3 linked regions of the Oryctolagus cuniculus genome follow. The protein of the gene in region 3 interacts with the protein of the main gene of each other region in a pairwise test. Links are inferred from orthologs where the notes say so. Each region holds a gene or a part of one and is shown on either strand. Other genes may lie near its edges.

Evidence for each region.
Region 1: the proteins of TXLNA (region 3) and CCDC136 interact in binary tests that used the Homo sapiens proteins (3 or more experiments, as listed by UniProt). The two-hybrid records come from large-scale screens. The link is inferred for Oryctolagus cuniculus from reciprocal best matches to the Homo sapiens genes TXLNA and CCDC136.
Region 2: the proteins of TXLNA (region 3) and KRT20 interact in binary tests that used the Homo sapiens proteins (3 or more experiments, as listed by UniProt). The two-hybrid records come from large-scale screens. The link is inferred for Oryctolagus cuniculus from reciprocal best matches to the Homo sapiens genes TXLNA and KRT20.

Annotation. Positions count from the first base shown.
Region 1 is NC_091434.1:164,999,856-165,003,499, reverse strand, and holds part of CCDC136 (coiled-coil domain-containing protein 136), read right to left. Parts: intron 1,285-3,644; coding exon 1,173-1,284; intron 268-1,172; coding exon 99-267; intron 1-98. UniProt on the Homo sapiens protein: May play a role in acrosome formation in spermatogenesis and in fertilization.
Region 2 is NC_091448.1:21,698,223-21,701,866, forward strand, and holds part of KRT20 (keratin, type I cytoskeletal 20), read left to right. Parts: exon of another isoform or gene 1-304; intron 305-608; exon of another isoform or gene 609-883; intron 884-1,196; coding exon 1,197-1,353; intron 1,354-1,693; coding exon 1,694-1,855; intron 1,856-2,050; coding exon 2,051-2,176; intron 2,177-3,114; coding exon 3,115-3,335; intron 3,336-3,644. UniProt on the Homo sapiens protein: Plays a significant role in maintaining keratin filament organization in intestinal epithelia. When phosphorylated, plays a role in the secretion of mucin in the small intestine.
Region 3 is NC_091438.1:140,273,170-140,277,339, reverse strand, and holds the start of TXLNA (alpha-taxilin), read left to right. Parts: upstream 1-1,343; 5' UTR 1,344-1,511; exon of another isoform or gene 1,512-1,538; intron 1,539-1,653; exon of another isoform or gene 1,654-1,868; 5' UTR 1,869-2,058; coding exon 2,059-2,224; intron 2,225-2,716; coding exon 2,717-3,055; intron 3,056-4,170. UniProt on the Homo sapiens protein: May be involved in intracellular vesicle traffic and potentially in calcium-dependent exocytosis in neuroendocrine cells.

The sequences.
Region 1 (3,644 bases), on a different chromosome or scaffold from region 3:
GAAGGTGAAAGGGAGCTGTGGAAGGAGCCCGCCGCCCCTCCCCTCCCCTCCCCTCCTCTCCCCTCCCCTGCCCTCCCCTGCCCGCGGTGCGCGCGTACCTTGGTCTTCATGCTCAGCATCTGCTCCTCAGCCCCCAGCAGCTGCTGCCGCAACAGCTGCATTCCAGGGTCGGGCTCCGGGAAATCCGCCTCGAAAGTCTGAGACTCGGTCGATGTCATGCTCTTCAGTGTTTGGGACTCCAGCCACCTCTCCGTCGCTCTCCGTGTCCTGTAACCCAGAACCCCAAAGCCCCGTTGGAAGGAACTCTGTCACTAGCGAACCTGGCTAGACCACTAGCCAAGCGGCCTCCATCCTTATGCCTTCAGATTATACCGAAGAGAGGCGGGGCCTTCTGCCGCGATGCACCTCCCAGATAAGCACGTGGAGAAGAGGACAGTCGCCAGGATCTCTTCTGCAGAGGCGTGTGGGCCCTGGGAGGCCCTACGAGTACCAGTCCAGTTGGTTTCAAGGCTGGGCCTGGTGGCAAGCCAGCTCCAGTCTGGCTGCGCTAAGCCATTAGACCTAATCAAGTCTGCATGGACAGTGTAGGAATGTCTTCTCAACCTACTCTCGGGCAGAGCAAACCAGACCCCGATAGCTACAGTGGAAGAAAACTAAATCTTAAGATTTATTTATTTAGCTTGAAAGTGTCAGAGTCACAGAGAGAGAGGTCTTCCATCACTGGTTTACTCCCCAGATGGCTGCAATGGCCAGTGTTGGGCCAGGCTGAAGCCAGGAGCTTCGTCTGGGTCTCCCACATGGGTGGCAGGGGCCCAAACACTTGAGCCATCTTCTGCTGCTTTCCCCAGGCCATTAGCAGGGAGCTGGATTGGAAGTGGAGCAGCCGGGACACAAACCGGCGCCCACATGGGATGCCAGTGTTGTGGGCAGCAGCTTTACCTGCCACGCCACAACGCCGGCCCCAAGAAAGCTAAATTTCAGAAGCCATTCAGCTCTGGTTCTGAGATCATCAGGCTGGGTTCCTGTGCCTGCCTCCAGGCGGTCTATCAGGGAGAGGATCAGCTCTCCAGGATCAGAGGAACACTGGTGCCCCCGGTGTCTGCCTTCAGGGATGCCCGAGGCAGAGTCTTGCCAAGCCCCACCCACCCGCCCCTCCAGCCGCCCGGCTGTACCTCTCGCTCTCGAGATCCGCGAGCTGCCCCGTGAGGCTGCTGTTGCTCTCCTGCAGGGCCCGGTACTCCTCGTTCAGGAAGTGGTAGCGCTCCTGCAACTGCTGCAGTTCTTCTGCACAGGACAAGCAGAGCGAGGTGAGTGCCTCGGGGTGGGGGAAGCACGGGTGAGGACCCCCCCCCACACCCCGTTTTCCTGCCTAGAAACCCGAGAGCACAAGTCGGAACAGCTTCACTTTTTCTGAAGACAGAGAAGAGACACCACTCCCAGAGGCTCAGAAGACAGGCCCAGAAGATGCCACAGCACCGGGAGGCCGTCCTGCAGATCTGCCCCGCCCACAGCAGGGTCTTGAGCTTCCGGGGGCTTGGGGGACTTTGATTAGGTTTCTGGTGTTCTGTATTTATAGTTGTTTATGATTCCTTTAGAACCAAAAGCTGAGAGCTGTGAACTCTGCCAGACAACCCAGCTGTTCTGATCTTTCTTTTCCTTCCTTTATCACCATTTCAAACACTCTGTTTGGTCTTGATGTGGTCAAGAATTTTTTTCTAACTTTTTTAATAAATGATTGTTTTTTAAGATACGCTATTTATTTGAAAGGCAGAGAGAAAGAGAGACAGAGAGAGGTCTTCCATCTGCTGCTTCACTCCCCAAATGGCCACAATGGTTGGGGCTGAACCAGGCCAAAGCCAGGAGCTTGGAACTCCATCCGGGTCTCCCACATGGGTGGCAGAGGCCCAAGCACTTGGGCCGTCTTCCACTGCTTTCCCAGGTGCATTAGCAGGGAGCTGGATCAGAAGCGGAGCAGCCGGGACTGGAGCCGATGCTCTGGTGGGATGCTGGTGTCGCAGGCAGCGGCTTAACCTGCTGCGCCACGCCAGTCCTCCAGCGATCTTCCATCGCCTCACGTATCACCAGCGCCAAGCCTCAGAACAGAGCAGGTTGAACTGCCCCACTGACCCTAAGGCCAAGTTAGCGATAATTTTTGTCACGTCATCATGATGTAAACACCCCTACGTTTTGTTCCCTCGTGACTAGGAACTGTGTCTCCTAGAACATGAATTCTACTGATATTTAACAAACACCGATTTGCTCTGTTTGGAACACAAGGCCTATCTCACCTGCTGGGAGCGTCACCGCCCTGAACGTCACTTCTGACGTTTCCTTTCCATTCCAATCAGAGTCCTTAGACTACCACAGGTTACCATAGGAGGAAGGAAGAAAACGGAAACCAGCCCTGTCTGACTTCAGCCTCAGATCGGGCTGCGGTCGCGAATGCTCGCAGCGGTATTTTTCTCTTTAAATAAACTTGTAATTTTAGATTTACTAAAAAGTTGCAAAGGTAGTAGAAAAAAGAAATTATCAGGTAGTAGAATTCCGGGCCGGCGCTGTGGCACAGTGGATTAAAGTCCTGGCCTGAAGCACCGACATCCTATATGGGCGCTGGTTCTAGTCCCAGCTGCTCCACTTCCAATCCAGCTCTCTGCTATGGCCTGGGAAAGCAGTAGAAGATGGCCCAAGTCCTTGGGCCCCTGCACCCATGTGAGAGACCCAGAAGAAGATTCTGGCTCCTGGCTTCGGATCGGCACAGTAGATGGAAGACCTTTCTCTCTGTCTTTCTCTCTCTGTGTAACTCTATCTTTCAAATAAATAAAATAAATCTTAAAAAAAAAAAAAAGAAAAAAAAGCAGTAGAGTTCCCTGAGAGAGTTCTCATCTGGTTTCCCCAACTGTTAACATCTCATTACCCCAGGACACGTGGCATGACTCAGCAATCAAGGCTGGCAATTACTGTTCACTCCACTCCACACTGGATTCAGATTTCTCTACACTTTCCCCCAAGGCCCTCTTACCGTTTACCGTTCCAGAACCCCACCTCGCTGTAAGGCCTTGTTCGCCACTTTGAATTCCCCATCCCGGCTGTGGAGATCAAGGCTCAGCGAGAGATGATAACCAGATGGAGTTCACGGTGCTGAGGGGTGGAGCTGTGTTTCTGCACTCTGCCCCTGTCTCACTCCAGCCCAAGCCCTTCCCTCTGCGCTAGCCTCCCTCTCCCTGCACCACCAGCTCTTCTCAGAGGCTGGACATGGCCGGGCAAACTTGAAGGCCTTAGATTCCTTGTTGCTTGCCTCTGCTTGCCTCTGCTTGGCCTGGCCAAATATAGGGCCTCCATTGTGCTCAGACCGGAAGTCCAGGCTCTCTGATGTCGCGAATCCTAGCAACTAGCTGGGCGCCTCACTGGCTGAAGCTTTGAGTGCCTCATATTTTACTGGAAATAATCTTCCTCTCCAGCTGTCTTGAGCTCTGATCTGTTGGCCCTAAAGTTTCCCCACTGGAAGGGTTAGAGGAGCCTCAGAATTAGCACCCCGGAGCCTGGGAAGCAGGGCCGGGCCCCCCATGACACGAGCCGGCAAAGCACCATGAGGCCAGAGCAGCAGGTGGCTTCCCAAGGTGACCCGGCTCTCTCCCCTCCTCCCA
Region 2 (3,644 bases), on a different chromosome or scaffold from region 3:
TTCTTCCTACGTGTCCATCTGTTATCTACAGAGAGCTACACGCCAGGGCAGACCAGGGAGACCCCAAGGGTCTCCACATAAATGGCCCACGTTCCAAGGGTGACTGCTGACATTTTCTTGTTTGTCTGTGTTCTACAACATGAGCTGACCAATCAAAGCGGCAGGACCTGTCTGTGGCTAACATACTTCAGACTGTGCTCACCTTCTGTGTGGTCCCCACGTCGTGTGTGCTCACAGCTGTTCCTCGATGGACTTCCTCATGCTGCACTTGTGCACGCAGTAACTCCAAAGTCCCCTTTATATGCTACAAGGGATTTAAAAAAGGGAAACGAGGAAGTATACGTGAGCGCTGAATCGGTGAAAGCTCATGCATCCACCTTTACCAAGTCAGCATCTGGGCCTCCACTGCATCACCATTTTTTATATTTTGCTGTTTTTAAAAAATGAGCATATATAAGTTTGCAGAGGAGACCATTTGGGATAATTTACTTTAGATGCATCTATCTACAAAAGTGATCAAAATACATTGATCAAGTTCACTTATTAAGTAAAGCTAACCACTATTTCATATCAATAACAGAACTCTTGGGGCCGGCACCGTGACTCACTTGGTTAATCCTCCGCCTACGGCGACAGCATCCCATGTGGGCGCCAGGTTCTGGTCCCGGTTGCTCCTCTTCCAGTCCAGCTCTCTGCTGTGGCCTGGGAGTGCAGTGGAGGATGACCCAAGTGCTTGGGCCCCTGTACCCGCATGGGAGACCAGGAGGAAGCACCTGGCTCCTGGCTTCAGATCAGTGCAACACCAGCTGTGGCAGCCATTTGGGGAGTGAACCAACAGAGGGAAGACCTTTCTCTCTGTCTCTGTCTCTTGCTGTCTATAATTCTGTCAAATAAAAAATAAATAACAGAACTCTTTAATAAAACAGCAATTAAAACAAATCTTTAAAATTTCTTTTAAAATATATTCTAGAATTGAGAAATTTATAAAAATTACATCAGGTCAACTTCTTATAAATCACTCCAAATCAGAGATTATGTGAAGGAGGAAATTGTCTGGTTCCTAGGTTCTCATACGCATTTCATGAGGGAGACTTTATGAAGCCCTGGAGTTGATCTCCACATAGACCATGTAAAATATATCTGCTTATTTCAGATTTCACAGACTCAGTTATCTTTGCATATGCATTAATTTTCAGGTTTGAGTCTGAGAGGGCGATACGCCTAGCGGTGGAGGCAGACCTTCAAGGCCTGGGTAAGGTTTTTGATGACCTAACCGTAAAAAGAACAAATCTGGAGGTTCAAGTTGAAGAACTGAATAACGACTTGGCTCTCCTCAAGAAAGAACATCAGGAGGTGAGAAAATACTCAGGTGTGGCATTGGGAATGATGGGAAGGCTTTACTAATGAGGAGGAGGAGACACAGAAGAAGAAGAGCTGCTGGTAGCGCTGGTGACGATGACACAACAGTGGATGACACAACAGTGGTGTCGGTTCTTATTTCTTGTCACAAGGTTGCTGCCCATTACATGACCTGGAGCAGTATGTGGACACAACCAGCCTTTCCTAAGTTATTACTTCCTTTCTTTCCCACTCATTCCCAGTGAACAAAATAATGAGACTTCTTATGCCTCTTCTGCCCAGCCTGCCGAGAATATGCTTCACATAAAACCCACCAGGATTTTCACTCTCCTAGGAAACCGATGCCCTACGCCGGCACCTGGGCAACACCGTCAATGTGGAGGTGGATGCAACTCCAGGCCTGAACCTTGGCGACATCATGAGTGAAATGAGACAGAAATACGAAATCATGGCCCAGAAGAACCTTCAAGAGGCCAAAGAACAGTTTGAGAGACAGGTACAGCATCGTCCTGAAGTGTGAGCAGGCTGTCCTCCACAGAGACACAACTCGTCCTTCCCTTCTCCTTCCTTCTCTCTTTCTTTTTTTCTTTCTTTCATTGCTTCTTTCCCTCTCTCCCTCTGTCCTGCCTTCCTTTCTCTCTTTCCTTCTCTCCTTACTCACTCATTCTGTTTTTTCCTTCCTGGGTTTTAGACTGAAGCTCTGCAGCAACAAGTCACAGTGGACACTCAGGAGTTAAAAGGAACCGAGGCCCAAGTGACGGAGCTGAAACGCACCTACCAGAGCCTGGAGATAGACCTCCGATCGCAGCTCAGTATGGTAAAGCATACCCACCTTCCGCTTCCCAAACCCCAGTGAGTTGACTAAGTGTCTGTGTTAGGGATTCTGGAGATGCAAAGACCTAGACAAAAGGAGCCATCTACTTGCGGAGCCCGTGGGAAAACAGGCTGAACCACTGACTCTAATCAAAAGACAGAAAGCAACCTAGGAAAGGGCACCATACCGCACAGAAGCAGAGGAAAGAGTAGATCTGGAAAAGCCCACAGTGTGGAGAGCTTTCCATTTGAGATGAACCTTTAAGCTAGAAGTTAGGAGTAGAGATATTACAGGCTAAGCAAATCAGTCTGCCCACGGTAAATTATGCTGTGGTAACCAGCAGCCCTCAGAATCGTAACAGCAACAACACTGCACCCATCACAGGTCGGCTACAGCTCCAATCCATGACTTTCACTCCCCAGGGGCAAAGCTAAAGGAGCAGCCCCGCTCTGGGGCAGGCCAATGCTGTGGCAGAAAGAAAGAGAAATGGCCAAGACATGGGAGAGCCCTGCAAACTTCTCACAAAAGGCATTTCTCAGTTTCACCAGCATTTGCTTAGCCAAAGAAGTCATGTGACCAAGCCTGGTGTTGATGCGCTGAAGAAATCTAATCCAAACCGCCAATCCCAGGGCCAAGCCTGAGGGAGGGGGAGGGAACCTGGCCTGCTGATAGGGTGGGAAAGCAAACACTGAGGATGGTAACACAGTGCACCACACTGAGAACAGTGGGTGCCAAGCCAGAAACAAAGAAAAAAACCAAGAGCTGGTGATCCCAGCTGGCAGGCTGTGGTTGCCTAGCGAGAAAGTGGGAAGCAGAGCTATAAACACACGTGAGTCCCCCAGGCTCCAGCTGCAGAAGTACTCCTCAAAAAGAGTTTAAATTGAGCCACTTCTTACACCAAGTCCCTAAATAACAAAGCCCTCTTTTTCTTGTGCTCACAGAAAGAATCTCTGGAGCACACCCTAGAGGAGACCAAAGCTCGTTACGGTAACCAGCTGGCCACTATTCAGGGCCTGCTAAGCTCTCTGGAGGCCCAGCTGATGCAGGTTCGCAGTGACACAGAACGCCAGAACAATGAATACAACGCCCTTCTCGACATAAAGACTCGTCTTGAGCAGGAAATTGCTACTTACCGCCTGCTTCTGGAAGGAGAAGATGTAAAGTAAGGATCATTAACATGGGCTGTGTGTATCAATGTCTAGATACTGTCCTATTTTACTGTCCTTGCTACCCATGACCCAATGCAATCCCTAACACAAAAGCAATTATACACATACCACTCACAACAACAAAAGTACACCAAAAAGTACACACACACCCAAAACACCAAATATGGCCTTTGTACCTGAGGTTATGTGGTAGGGCTAAGTTAGAAGATGGCTATCCAAATGATACCAATTGTGTTAAGGCCAGTTTTTGTGATTAAAGTATAATTTAAAGCAAAGTTACTTTTTTGAAAAATTCTTATTCC
Region 3 (4,170 bases):
TCAAGTTTGTTGTTTATTTTTGCCATAAGTGCACTTTGGAAGAAAAATAGCAAGCATCTGCAAAAACCTGAGAAACCCTGTGAATCATAAAAGTAGAGTTGGAGCAAAAAACCCAAGATTGGATGGAAGAGGCAAAAGCCAAACCACGTAGGCTCTTCAGATTCCAGGTGCAAAGAGTACTGGGTTTTATTCCAACGTCTATAAGCAGCGGTGATAAAGAATTGTGACCTCGGGGCTGGTGCCTGCAGTGCCGCCATCCCACATGGGCGCCAGTTCAAGACCTCCTAGCTGCTCCATTTCCAATCCAGCTCTCTGCTATGGCCTGGGAAGGCACTGGAGGATGGCCCAAGTCCTTGGCCCCCGCACCCAGTGGGAGACCTGGAAGAAGCTCCTAGCACCTGGCTCCTGGCTTCGGATCGGCGCAGCTCTGGCGGTTGCGGCCAATTGGGGAGTGACCCAGCGGATGGAAGACCTCTCTCTCTCTCTGCCTCTCCTCTCTGTGTAACTCTGCCTTTCAAATAAATAAATAAATCTTTTTAAAAAATTGTGATCCCACCTTTGGAGAAAAATCTGGCCTTTTCAGTTTTAGCCCTAGTACCACAAGGACTTTGTACAAAATGGGACGAAGAAGTTTCAGGAATGGGCCTGAGGTCAAACACCCCTGCAGGGACCCCTCTGCCCCTTCCTGCGGGACTGCCGAGCTTATTGGGGGGGGGGGGGGGTAACTACCTTTCACAAGTTACCCGGGCTCTTGGAGAACGCCTGCAATGGTGATTATTTCTTCTGAGTAAAAGGCAGGGTAGCGGAGTAGTCAGGTTCTGAACCACTGCTCGAACCCAGCATCTGTGACCGTGGGCGAGCTGTCTAACGCGAGCCTTACAGCCCTCTTCCGTTAAATGGGAATGACAAATAGTACTTATCTCCAGCAGCTAGGAGGCCAGGGCTTTTAAGAGACCAGGGAAGCACACGGGGTGTGCTCAGAGAACCGCTACGGTCACTGAAAGCCTGCGTCAGAATAAGGAAATCGAGGCAGGGAGAGAAAAGAACGTCCAGTCGCGTGGCACCTAGGGATGAAGTCGGACCTGGAACACAGGCCTGCCTCCCAGCCCAGGCCTCTCCGGAGTCCCCGGACTGACGGAGTGTGGACCGAGGCACGCGGGCGCAGTGAGGCTGGGCCGCACAGGGCTTCTGCACGACACCGGCGAGGTTGACGTGGAGGTTTGCTCAGAACCACCGGCTCCCCAGCCCTCCGGAGTCCGCGGCTCTGAGGACGAGAGCATCCTGGGAGTTGTGTCGACCGATGCATGGTGGGACGTGTAGTCCGCTCCTGTCCCCGCCCTCCCGATGCACCCGCCTTGGAGGCCGCCTTCGCTCCCGGCTCCCGGCAAGCTCCGCGCCAGCGCCGGCTACTAATTGGCTGTGGCTCGGACAGGCGGCTCTGCCGGCAGCGGTTACCCAGGGTTTCCGGTGCGAGGCCAGCGCTGGGGACGCGGTCGCACGTCGCCCGTGAGGTGAGCCCAGCGGCGGGACGACGGACGGTGAGGGCCTGCAGACCTGGACACTTTCGGCCAGCGGGGAAATTGCTCCGATTTCTGCGCGTGGGCGGCGGCGGGGGTGGGGGGAGTCGGGGTGACGCTGTGCGCATGCGCGCGACTGGAGGGCGCGCGGGGCGTGGGTGGCTGCGTGCGCGCGGGCGCGGGAGCCCACGTGGGACCTGGGGCGCGGGGGGAGGGGTCGGAGTCGAGCGTCCCGCCACGTCAGTCTGCGGCCGGGAGCCAATCCCGCGCCGGGCCTGCCGTGAGGGGCCGTGTGGGGCCGGGAAGTGGCTTCGGGGGGAACAAGGAGGCCTCTCTCCTCACCCGCTCCAGGAGCAGCGCCCCGGAAACCCGCCGGGGTGCGCCAGGCCCCCTGACCGGCCGGACAGCGGGAGAACCGTTGGCTCCCTCCGTTGAAGGTGCGCCTGGGCTGTGATTTCTGATCCAGGCTGCGAAGAATTCTGTGGAAAATAGCAACTGTGTTTCTCAAGGATCCAATCCCAACCTAAGGTGGCAGCGCACAATGAAGAATCAAGACAAAAAGAACGGGGCTGCCAAACAGCCCAACCCCAAAAGCAGCCCGGGACAGCCGGAAGCAGGAGCGGAGGGAGCCCAGGGGCGGCCCGGCCGGCCGGCCCCCGCCCGAGAAGCCGAAGGTGCCAGCAGCCAGGCTCCCGGGAGGCCGGAGGGTGTGTGCCAGCTCTGCGTTTCCAGCCGCCTGGGGGAGGAGTTCGCGGCCCGGCCCAGGGAGGAGGCAGCGGGGATGTGGAGCATCCCAGGCTCTGGGGAGGGGAGGCCCTTGCAGGCTTCTCGCAGGTGGCCGGCACCTGAGGCCTCAGCCAGTGACGCCGGGTTCCATCCGAAGGACCTCGGTCACCAGTGTGGGTCACTGCCCTTGGTTCGTTGTCGAGGCATTTCTGGAGCTGCTTGCATAGCAAGCGGGGGCTTTTAGAGGGAGGGGAATGGACGAAACATTGAGTTGCCTGCCTCCTGCGACATGGCAGTCCCAGGTGCCGTACGTACTTATTTTATGCTTGAACAAACTGTATTGGGGAGGTTGCGAGAATTAAGTAAGCTGGGGCAACCTTAAACCTGAACCAGTGAGGCTGGCTGGGCTCACGATCCCAGGTGGTGGTCTAACCTTGCCGTCTGTCGCTGCCTCTCGTCCTCTCCTGCCCTAGGGGCTCAAGCCAAAACTGCTCAGCCTGGGGCGCTCTGTGATGTCTCTGAGGAGCTGAGCCGCCAGTTGGAAGACATACTCAGTACATACTGTGTGGACAACAACCAGGGGGCCCCGGGTGAGGATGGGGTCCAGGGTGAGCCCCCTGAACCTGAAGATGCAGAGAAGTCTCGCGCCTATGTGGCAAGGAATGGGGAGCCGGAGCCGGGCACCCCAGTAGTCAATGGCGAGAAGGAGACCTCCAAGGCAGAGCCGGGCACGGAAGAGATCCGGACGAGCGATGAGGTCGGAGACCGAGACCACCGGAGGCCACAGGAAAAGAAGAAGGCCAAGGGTCTGGGTGAGCAGAGGGCAGCTGCGGGGGGCTGTGGGGAGGGCTTTGCACCTGACATTCCTTGGGCTGTGCAGCAGGGAGTCTCCCTGGTTGATTCAAAGCGCAGGGTATTCCAGCCACAGGCCGGAGTCGTTCAGGTTGGGAGCAAGTGAAATGGAGCCTGATCCTCATGGACAAAGCGGAGAGGTTTGGATGGGCTCTGTACCTGCCCACACCGCTTCGTCCCTGCTGTGTGACCTTGGGCATGTCCTTTCCCCGCCCTGGGCAATAGTTTCCAGTTCTCTACAAGGAGAGGATTGGGCTAGGCCAAAGTTGCAAACGCAAACGTCTGTGTAAGCCAGGACCGAGGGAGGGCCTGCTTTCTGCCCAGGGTGGACTGCAGCCTTGTTCCTTGAGTGCTCTGCACTGTGCCTGCTGCCAGCTCGTCAGTTGAGAGCGTGTTGAACCTCAGACTGGGTGCAGCTGGAATTTTATTTTCTGTTAAGAAAAGCCAGAAATCAAGAGTCTGGTGAAATCTGTAGATTTCAGTAGTAGAAACCAAACAAAACCCATGCATGAGCCGGGTTTGGCCTGTGTGCCAGTGATTGGCATCTCTGTGCTGGTGTCTTCGGGCCTCCGCAGGCTGAGCAGCCTGGAGCCTGGTCAGCAGCCCCTGGGGAAAGGCCCCCCACTGGGCACAGGCAGTGGGGAAGTGGCAGAGACGGTTTTTTGACAGCAGAGTTCGTGTCTGTTAAGAATCTGGGTTAGATGACATTGGACTTGTGTCCTAGTCCCTGTCTCGCCGCCCTTCCCCCGCCCCCAGCACTTGTCACCCTAATTGAAAGAGGAACTTTTTTAAAGAATCATGGGAACACACATTGAAGGTCTCTTCATTATAAGGTTCCCTGTTTGGATGCCTCGTACACAGGGCTATAGATTTCTCACGGAGGCCAGGAGACCTTTTCGGATCCTGCTTCTCTGGGAAGGCCCCACTTTGCATTGAAACAGTAGCCCTGAATTTGCAGGTGGGATACCTTTTATCTGCTGGGAGGCAGACAAGCTTTTCTCCCACCAGTGGTGCCCCCCCCCCCCCGAAGGAATTCCAAGAGGTTTTGGTAAGCATCTGTGGGACACGTGCTGCG